Arabidopsis thaliana: one gene and its partner. The protein of the gene in region 1 interacts with the protein of each later gene in a pairwise test. Each region holds a gene or a part of one and is shown on either strand. Other genes may lie near its edges.

Evidence for each region. The genes of interacting proteins can lie anywhere in the genome.
Region 2: the proteins of RAC3 (region 1) and GDI1 come close enough for resonance energy transfer, tested with the Arabidopsis thaliana proteins (one study listed by BioGRID).

What each region holds. Positions count from the first base shown.
Region 1 is NC_003075.7:16,670,550-16,675,339, reverse strand, and holds RAC3 (RAC-like 3), read right to left. Parts: upstream 3,149-4,790; 5' UTR 3,097-3,148; exon of another isoform or gene 2,920-3,096; intron 2,557-2,919; exon of another isoform or gene 2,509-2,556; 5' UTR 2,486-2,508; intron 2,422-2,485; exon of another isoform or gene 2,375-2,421; 5' UTR 2,165-2,374; coding exon 2,066-2,164; intron 1,762-2,065; coding exon 1,674-1,761; intron 1,590-1,673; coding exon 1,480-1,589; intron 1,378-1,479; coding exon 1,314-1,377; coding exon of another isoform or gene 1,234-1,313; exon of another isoform or gene 1,216-1,233; coding exon 1,151-1,215; intron 1,070-1,150; coding exon 1,004-1,069; intron 905-1,003; coding exon 800-904; 3' UTR 551-799; downstream 1-550. Other genes in the region: BGAL11 (beta-galactosidase 11), read left to right, coding at 3,366-3,575, 3,669-3,764, 3,863-3,975, 4,061-4,127, 4,217-4,309, 4,401-4,544, 4,626-4,720. UniProt on the Arabidopsis thaliana protein: Inactive GDP-bound Rho GTPases reside in the cytosol, are found in a complex with Rho GDP-dissociation inhibitors (Rho GDIs), and are released from the GDI protein in order to translocate to membranes upon activation.
Region 2 is NC_003071.7:18,239,906-18,245,544, forward strand, and holds GDI1 (guanosine nucleotide diphosphate dissociation inhibitor 1), read left to right. Parts: upstream 1-1,563; 5' UTR 1,564-1,898; coding exon 1,899-1,985; exon of another isoform or gene 1,986-2,334; coding exon 2,335-2,397; intron 2,398-2,485; coding exon 2,486-2,569; intron 2,570-2,658; coding exon 2,659-2,766; intron 2,767-2,954; coding exon 2,955-3,127; intron 3,128-3,220; coding exon 3,221-3,332; intron 3,333-3,441; coding exon 3,442-3,522; intron 3,523-3,622; coding exon 3,623-3,685; intron 3,686-3,802; coding exon 3,803-3,904; intron 3,905-4,076; coding exon 4,077-4,201; intron 4,202-4,446; coding exon 4,447-4,657; intron 4,658-4,739; coding exon 4,740-4,814; coding exon of another isoform or gene 4,815-4,826; exon of another isoform or gene 4,827-4,905; coding exon 4,906-4,959; 3' UTR 4,960-5,103; downstream 5,104-5,639. Other genes in the region: AT2G44090 (Ankyrin repeat family protein), read right to left, coding at 1-92, 421-923; MLO15 (Seven transmembrane MLO family protein), read right to left, coding at 5,584-5,639. UniProt on the Arabidopsis thaliana protein: Regulates the GDP/GTP exchange reaction of most RAB proteins by inhibiting the dissociation of GDP from them, and the subsequent binding of GTP.

The sequences.
Region 1 (4,790 bases):
CACAAGAATAATGCAAATTCTTAAGTGATTGAAAGACATATTAGGTGAATATTAGTTCACTAAACGTCATGACACATATCTAATCATTTCAATTAGTTTAGGAATCGAATAATACGTGGGTCTAAATCAAGGGGCAGATAACGCAAAGAAAGAGATTGATCAACAAACATATATGTTTGGTAAAGAGAAGCCAAGCTTATTCACCATAAATTTTATTTAATCAATGATTTATTTTTCCTTTTTTTTGTCTTTTCCGGTGAGAGTTAAAATCAATCATTCTATTATCTCCAAGGGGAAAACGTCTAGTCAATAAGCAAAATGAATATCAAATAAATTTGATTAAAAATGTAAAATCAAAAGTTTTGAGGTTCTGAAATCATTGAAGATTATAGTCTAAAGATCAGGTTAGGTCTATGTGGAATTGATATGTATGGAAGACACTCTGGCTCATTCAGAAGGTTTCAAATAAGCTGGTTTAGATACTATTGTCCAAGAAAGACAAGTGCTCTCTCATTCTCATTGGTTCGCGCGTGTAAGCTCTCATTGTCTTTAGGTTTGGAACATAATCCTTAAGACAATTGGTGTGAATCTAGGAAACAGAGAAATCAAGGATTCGTGGTATATTTACAGATCAAAATGCAAACAAGAATACAAATACTTGTTACTAGTTCTTCAACTTTTGTCATTTTCAGACTACAAACAACAGATTTTTGATTCCTTGGGTAAACAAGTTATGAAAAAGGAGAAAACAAATACTTATAGCTCTAATTCTCCTGTTGATTCCTTTCTTCTTGTTGAATCAGAGTATAGAACAACCTTTCTGAGATTTTCTCTTCTTCTTCTTCTTGTTTTTTGGTGGCTGGAGAACGACCTTGATAGCCGCATCAAACACTGCTTTCACATTCTGTTGAACAGATAACAGATATAGGAATCATCAGCAGATTCAATTGGCGGTTTTAGACAGGTAAAGATTAGATAAAGATATTGACTCTCAGGTTAATACCTGTTGAGTTTTTGCACTGCATTCGATATAAGCAGGCGCCCCAATCAGCTTCTTTAGTTCTTCACCCTGTTTTGATACCATCAAAATATGAAACATGCAGAATATTAACACCTAGGATTCAGTTTAGAAAGATAATGAGAAAGGTACCTGAGCGGTAGAGATAGGCACAGCACCAGGGTGCTCGGCAAAGAATTGCTTATCATCTCGAAGATCTGTACGAGACTCAGTCATCAAAATATCAGAAGAGTTCCCCAAAACAGAAAACCCCCGATAATCAGGCGATTAAGAGTTGAGCTAAGAAAAAACCAACCAAGCTTTGTTCCAACGAGGATGATGGGAACACCAGGAGCATAATGTCTCAGTTCAGGAACCCACTAAGAATCAAAAGCAAGATACCAAATGTATTCTATCAGAATCACTGAATGTAAACTGAATAAAACAGGAAAGAAGTTTCAGGAGAAGACCACAGATCAAACCTTTTTAGAAACATTTTCATAGCTAGCTTTGCTGACAAGTGAGAATGCAAGTAAGAAGACATCTGCACCGCGATAGCTCAAAGGTCTTAGTCTATTGTAGTCCTCTTGCCCTGTTTCACCAAGTCAAAAACACAAATGACTCTCTGGAAGAGGAGGAAATTCAAAAGACAAAAAAATCCAAGGTAACAACTTGCCTGCAGTATCCCACAATCCCAAGTTGATAGTGTTGCCATCAACAATCACATTGGCACTGAAATTATCGAACACAGTTGGCACATAATCCTGTCACATAGAAAATTCCACTAAAACATCAGCTACAAAATCTCCTTACAGAAAGTTACCTAACACTCTTTCTAAGATCATTAAACAGATCAACAACATTGCTACGGTACATGAATCTCTGAGTCTCTCAAATCCTAAAGATCACATCAGTACATTCACTAAGGTAGCAGAAAGAAGAAGACTTTAAGAAAACCTAACAAATACTTGTGACTAAATCCAACTCATAAGCTTCAACAACAAAACCAACTTCACCAAGCTAAAATTTCACGAAATCAAAGTAAAAGAAGAGAACTTTAAAGCTAACCGTGGGGAAAGTGTTGCTAGTGTAGGAGATGAGAAGACAAGTCTTTCCAACAGCACCGTCGCCGACAGTGACACACTTGATAAACCTTGAAGCACTCATCTTTCTCTCCTTCTTCAAACTTCAAAAACCCTAATTTGTTCACGAATTGGGGATTTTTGACTAAAGAGAGAGAGAGTGAGGTTCTTTAAAGAGAAAGAAGACAAAGAAATAGCTGCTGAAAGTCTCTCCCAGACTAGAGTCTTCCTAATTTTTACTACTCATCCTCACATGCACCTCAATTTCTTGGTCTTCTTCTTCCTTTTTTTTCTTCTTTTTACTAAAATTTTATAAAATAGCATTTCTTCTTAGATAGTGCGTTTCCCAACATAAGACCCTACAAAAATTTATGGGATGAAAATTATAATAATAATTTCTATGTACTTTTTTTTTTTTTTTTTTTTAAACTTCGTTTTCATCTAATACTATGCAGCCCATATACTAAATGCCTAAATCTATACATATTTAGATTGATCTTTAAATATCAATAAAAAATTTAGCTAAATTTTGACTGGTTTAGAGGATTTTTCCGATGTGTCATTAGGATTATACAACTATGGTTTAAATATCAATAAAAAATATAGCTGGTTTTACAATGCAATATGATTGGAGTGTTAATTTTTATTGATCAGCCTCCTTTGGATACATATTCTTCTGTTACATGTTAAATGATAATATTTTTGTCCCGGTATGTTGAAGTAAACATTAAAAATGTACATACAACTTCTCTAAGAAATAAATGTTGAGACACTAAAAAAAACGTGAACTTAAGGTCAATATTTAATATTTTTATAACCAATCACGGTATAAAGGCTTACCTTTTGAATCTGTCTAGCTAGTTATTGACCGTTAATTTTAAAAACACTTATTGACCGTTAAAGAATCTGTTATGGGGACCCAAAAAAAACGAATGGTAATTTCACTAATTTGTTATGTTATGTCCAACATAATAGGCGAAGAATAGGGTGAAACCAACATTTAAAAATAGCAAAAACAAATTAAAAAAAAAAAATCGAAAAGGAAAAATGAAGAGAGTTTCAAAGTTACAACGGTGGATTCTATTTCAGACGCGTAAATTTCTCCGGAAACCTGAAAACCTGAGTGCGAAACATTCTCTTATATCATCCTCTTTTCTGAAAGCTTGTTATTTGAGCTCTCCTTGTTTTTTATTCCTCCGACAAGGACGAGGTTCCAAGAGAACTTAGCTTCTTGTTCTACGTACGACACCAAAAATTAATTCAAAAAAGAAAAAGAAGAGAGTTCAATGAGAAAACATTCTCTTGATCGATGGCTTTTAACAGCTGTTCTTGTCGTTCTCCTCTCGTCTTCTTCCTCCTTCGCGGCCAAGAAGGACGCCAAGAAGAAGAAGAAGAGTAATAAGGAGGTGACATATGATGGAACCTCTTTGATCATCGATGGCAAAAGAGAGCTTCTTTATTCTGGCTCTATTCATTACCCGAGAAGCACTCCGGAAGTATTTATTGAATCACATAATCTCTGTTTTTCTAAAACGTTTTTTTTTTTTTTTTGTATATTGAGATTATTGTGTCATTTGGGTTTGGTTTAGATGTGGCCAAGTATCATCAAGAGAGCCAAGCAAGGCGGTTTGAACACGATTCAGACATACGTTTTCTGGAATGTACATGAGCCTCAACAAGGAAAGGTAATTCATAACCAAAAACTGATCTATATATAGAACATATAAAACACGCATGCATGAATCTTTAGGATTCATAATGTATTTTGTGTTGCGTTCATCAGTTCAACTTTTCGGGACGAGCTGATTTGGTGAAGTTCATAAAGTTGATTCAAAAGAATGGAATGTATGTGACCTTAAGGCTTGGACCGTTCATCCAAGCTGAATGGACTCATGGGTAATAATGCATTGCTTCTTCTTCTTTTTCGGCGTTCTCAAGATCTTCATTTTAACATTTTATATGATCTCTTTGTGATGATCAGAGGACTTCCTTATTGGCTTAGAGAAGTTCCTGGAATTTTCTTCCGTACAGACAATAAACAATTCAAGGTATTATACATAGAATTACTATATATATGTCAATGTGTGTTTTGTTACAATTAGATATATTACAAGATATGACCATAAAAATATTGCAGGAGCATACAGAAAGGTATGTACGGATGATACTCGACAAAATGAAGGAGGAAAGATTGTTTGCGTCACAAGGAGGCCCCATTATATTAGGACAGGTGACAACAAAGAAAAGAGAAACCTATATATTTATATATGATTTGAAAAATGTTATAAAATGATGAGTTTTGGAATGAATATGAATTGCAGATAGAAAACGAATATAGCGCGGTTCAACGTGCATATAAACAAGACGGGTTAAACTACATTAAATGGGCATCTAATTTGGTGGACTCAATGAAACTCGGGATCCCATGGGTTATGTGCAAGCAGAACGACGCTCCTGATCCTATGGTAAAGTTCATTTTTACATGATTGTGTTTTATCCGAATGAGGAAGAAAGTTTTAAAATATTTGAAAACACTGTGGAAACAGATCAATGCTTGTAATGGAAGACATTGCGGTGATACTTTCCCCGGTCCAAACAGAGAAAACAAACCATCTTTATGGACTGAGAATTGGACTACTCAGTGAGTTTGTTTTTCTTACTCTTGAATTAAACATGTAAAAACCTTAGGTTCATTCATATAAGTGTTGAAT
Region 2 (5,639 bases), on another chromosome or scaffold:
TGAGTGCCCATTCAGTAAACTTTTGAACTTTAGCACCAGCTTCTGCTTTGAGGACCTCATCACCGTTACACTCTTGGAGACGCTCGTGCAACCTGGAAACGCCGAGATGGGAAAAAATGGATTTATATAGAAAGGGTATCTCACCCTTCCCAGCTAACCAAAGATAAACCAGGAGGAATAAGAACATAAGAGATACTATAGATTTAACAAAAAGCGATTTCTAAGAAAAGTTAACAACACTAAAACACTTGCAGATGTAACCAACCAATGTAACATGTAAGACACAATGTAGTGATCATATAAAGCAAAAACAAGGTATCATAACAGAAACCAACTTCTCCAATAATCCAAAAGTGTTTTACCATAATTATACTGAGAAAAAGGGGAAACATCTTATAAGAGAAAGTATCAAATGTGTACCTTTGAGCCATAACAGTTACAGTATCAGCAAGACTCACAGTCCGGCTATGGCAAGATGAAACACAAGAAGCAAGAAAGGAAGTCCTAAGTGTAGCTCTAGTATAGTCCTGAGCACCATGACATATGATCTTAGCAATCAATTCAGTGATTCCCCGTAACTCATGCTCTGTGCTCAAGAACCAAATAGAATCTAAACTAATACACAACAGATCATTCAAAGTTTGTGGATCAGCCAGCTGAATAAATCTCTCTGAAAGTTGCCAATCCTGTGAGCTAACAGCACCTTGGAAAAGCCGTCCCAATTCGATTCTATCCTGTCTATTAAGCTTCTTCTGTTGCTCAAGACCCCTGCATTTCAGTATCTTTGCAGTAGATCCAGAGCATTTGGTCGGTTGAGTGATGATACCTACAAGAGGTGACTCTCTTGCAAAAACAACATCACTCTCTTGAGGTTCCAAGTCAGAACCTACAGGCTCATCAGGATACATGTCATCGTTCTCCATCCACTCAGATTTCCAAAATCAATAATCCAAAAACTTGTTTTGACATTCGAAAAACCTTTGCAATAACAATACTGTATACCAACAAATCCCTTCCTCCTTGTACAAGCAAATGTCTTGTACCAAAATCAAAATCCAGACTTGCGCAATCAACCACTCCAAGAAATCAAACCCAGGAAGAAAAGAAAAAAGAGACTAGAGATTTCGTTCAGAAAATGCGGTAGAATCGATTCACGAGAGCGAAAAGGGTCTGAATTTTAGCAAAACGTAGTCAACAGAAGCATCCAAACCTTAAAATAAAATAAAAACAGAAACTGATCCCAATCAGAATCCATGGCCGAGCACAGCAATTGTGAATTCGGCCATGAAAATTGCATCGGAAAGAAGAAGAAAGATGTGAATTTGCAAATTACCAAAGAAGAACATTCGTAGAGGAGATGGGAAGATGAGCGAACCTGGACGAGATTTTCATTGAGAGGTCAAGAGAACAATGAGAGAATTTTTTTTTATTTTTTTATTGTAAAAATAATAATTGACAAAATTAATTAAATAAATTTGCTTTGCACTCACAGAACAGAACAGAAGATGACATTTTCTCTATTTTCATATTTGTCTTTTTGGTTTAATCGACTGGTTATTTATTTATTACCCTAAAAAAAAACGGAATTGTTTTAGAAAATGCTAATTGAATTATTAGATTGCTTCAGACAGCAAAAACATTATTGTAAATCTATTTATTACACACACAAAATTACTTTTAAGTTTTACTTGGTAATAATATTTAGATTTATCCAAATTTCAATAGCCAAATAAGAAAAAAAAAAGAGAAAAAGCATATAAGAAAGAAAGCATCTTTGGACTTGTCTGATTTTCTCTATAGACGCAATCACCGCCGATTCTCTCTCTCTCTCTCTCGAGTCTCTCGACGGTCGCATATCAAAAGTCCATTTCTTTCTTCTCTTTGGAGGATCAGCAACTATGGATGAAGAGTACGAAGTCATAGTTCTGGGTACTGGTCTCAAGGAGTGCATCCTTAGTGGTCTTCTCTCCGTCGATGGTCTTAAGGTCTCTCTCTCTCTTTTTGAATCCATGCTTGATCTGGAGATTTTCAATACTCTTAATTCGTTACTTACATGATGAACAACGGATCTAGTTGAGATTATTATCTCCGATTGTGTGATTTAAAGCTGGTTGCTTTGTGAGCTTCAACATGAGAATCAATTGGCTTCGCGATTTTGACAATGATCTGAATTTAATGCATTTAGTTAGTTATTGAGATTGCGTAAAAAGACTAAATTTTCATCATCTCCACTCCTATATCTTCTATGTGATTGATTAGCTGACTTTGTCGCCAAGTTTACTTCTTTTTATAAGTAATCTAATGGTCTACTAATTTCATCTATATTCCAATTAGGTACTTCACATGGACAGGAATGACTACTACGGTGGAGAGTCAACTTCTCTTAATCTCAATCAGGTCAATATTTTTGTTAAATATATATGAAGACTTTTTGTGGTAAGTTATAATCAGCGAGAGTTATTGAATGTTGCTTTGTTTTAAACAGCTGTGGAAGAAGTTCAGGGGAGAAGAGAAGGCTCCTGCTCATTTAGGTTCTAGCAGAGACTACAATGTTGACATGATGCCAAAGGTTATCAATATTAGCTACTTTCCAGCTTATCTAGCTTCCTTGTTACCAATATGAATTACTAACTGTTCTCTGTCAATGTGGCGCACCAGTTTATGATGGCTAACGGAAAGCTTGTTCGTGTCCTTATTCATACGGATGTGACCAAGTACTTGTCTTTTAAAGCTGTTGATGGAAGCTATGTTTTTGTCCAAGGCAAGGTACATTGATTACTCATTTTCATTTTTATCTTGTGCCTCATTCTCTTTTTTTTCCATAGATTTCAAGTCTGTTTGTGCATCTTTTTTTCTCCCATGTTTGATCTTGGTCAAAAGCTTTTCACTGATCATTCTAGCTTTGCAGCTTAAGTAATTTTTTTCTAGTTATATTAACTGTTTATATGCTACAGGTCCAAAAAGTGCCAGCAACTCCCATGGAGGCCCTCAAATCTCCTCTTATGGGTATTTTTGAGAAACGTCGAGCTGGAAAGTTTTTCAGCTATGTTCAAGAATACGACGAGAAGGACCCAAAAACACATGATGGAATGGATTTGAGGAGAGTTACAACTAAGGATTTGATTGCGTAAGCTGATGTTCTCTTGTCTTTTGCATTATGGTGTTGTCAATATTTGTTTTAGACTATCTGCTGCTAACTATCAATTTAACACTTTGGCAGGAAATTCGGTCTTAAAGAAGATACTATTGACTTTATTGGTCATGCAGTGGCACTTCACTGTAATGACAATCATCTCCATCAACCTGCCTATGATACTGTAATGAGAATGAAGGTGAATTGCTCTCATGGGACTTTAAAGTGTGGATCCCCTTGTTTTCGAAGTCTTCTTTTTTGCTCTCAGTATTTCATGTTTGACTCTGTTGCTTTAAATGTTTTATCAGCTCTACGCAGAGTCCCTTGCACGTTTTCAAGGAGGTTCACCATATATCTATCCTCTCTATGGGTTGGGAGAATTGCCTCAGGTTTTTTTCTTCTTTTGTACATTGCTTTATTTGGTTGGTGCAACTATTCTGGCGTTTTGGACTATAGTTTCTAAATTCTCTCTTATCTTCCTTGGCTCAGGCATTTGCACGACTTAGTGCTGTCTATGGTGGGACGTATATGTTGAACAAACCTGAGTGCAAGGTGCGTCTTTGACTTCCTTATCTTTGTGGCTTTTTTGTTTCGGTCGTTTCTGCAACTTTTTCTGTCGTTAACTATATGGATGCTAGATCTGATAACCTAATATTGCTTTTATAACAGGTAGAGTTTGACGAGGAGGGTAAGGTTTCTGGTGTTACATCTGAGGGAGAGACTGCCAAATGCAAGAAAGTTGTCTGCGATCCTTCTTACCTAACCAACAAGGTAATGGCTGTGACCGGATATCCTACAGTAACATTAGCTTTGTTGCATGCATATATCTCTCATCTCTGTTTTATGGTCTGTTGTTATGAATGTGAGCCTTTTAGGCAATTTTAACAATGTGAGCCTGTATGTTAACATTATTTTAAAATGTTTTATAATCCAATTCAAACAGGTCAGGAAGATTGGCAGGGTTGCTCGGGCGATTGCCATTATGAGCCACCCTATTCCAAACACCAATGATTCTCAGTCGGTGCAAGTCATTCTACCCCAAAAACAATTGGGCCGCAAATCAGACATGTGAGTTCTCTTATTCATCCTTTGGTTTCACTTATGTAAATGTGTTTGAATAATGTGTTAGCTAATCTTTGTCTGAATTATTCTCTTGAGCTTGCTGAGATACCTTCCTTGCTACACACTCTTCTCAACTATATTATTTCTTGATTACAACACATACACTCTATAAAACTTGGCAGTGTGTAACATTGAGTCGATTGATATATTTGTTTCTCGGCTCATGATTACATCTTTATTGTAACTGACAGGTATGTCTTCTGTTGTTCATATTCACACAACGTTGCTCCCAAGGGAAAGTTCATAGCATTTGTGTCAACAGACGCTGAAACTGATAACCCTCAAACCGAGCTCCAGCCTGGAATCGACCTTCTTGGTCCTGTTGATGAGCTGTTCTTCGACATCTATGATAGATATGAGCCTGTCAACGAACCCACTTTGGACAACTGCTTCATATCAACGGTTAGTTTCTCTACCCCTTTTTTAGTGAGCATCTTAAAGTTGGCTGGTTTCTAATAACCTTTTTTGTTCATGTCCTGAACAGAGTTATGATGCTACAACACACTTTGACACAACTGTTGTTGATGTGTTGAACATGTATAAATTGATCACCGGAAAGGTAATGTTCTAGAATCACAAATATATCGGTTTTTATTAATTGACGGCGACATATTCTGTAATTGGGGAGTGATCATTGTTTTGTGTTGCAGGAACTGGATCTAAGTGTGGATCTTAACGCAGCTAGTGCTGCAGAGGAGGAATGATGGAAAATATTGCAAGCTCTGTCTCTCTCTGTTAGTCACCAAATGATGTAACCGGTTCTCTTTCTCCCTCTTCTTAAAAGTTGTCTCACCAAATGTTCTGTTAAAATACTAAATCAAACCGATCTCATCATGCGTACCTATTCCCGGTTATCGCAGTCTGTTTTTTTCTTCTCAAAAAACTAAAATGTTGGATTTCGTGGTTTTTGTTTGGAGTGTCTAATATATCATCATGCTCTTCCGTTTGAACAATTATCGTCTCAATCGTTTCGTAGAGAGTCGTTGCTTAACAAGTTGAATAGTAAATGCATAGCAAAACTAAACTAAGCATATTAAATGACTGGTAATACACACAAACCATTATTTTGTTCTTCAAACCGACATAGATTGTTTTTCTTCACATGTCAGTTTAAAATCATATAAACGAACACAAAATTGAGCATTATAAACGGCTCTGTAGAAATCACATATCTTGTTTGATCAAACTGGCAGACAGATTCAGCATCTTTGCTGTGTTTATTTGTTACAACGCCTTTCAATCAGTTATATATACCAAACAAAGTCGAACAAGTTCAAAAAATCAAAAATCACAACAACAAAAAAAATGTCAGAACAAGTTTTTGTTTGTTAATCATGGTGAGCAATCTCTGATTTTTCCTTGGGGTTCTGATTTTGTTGAGAGG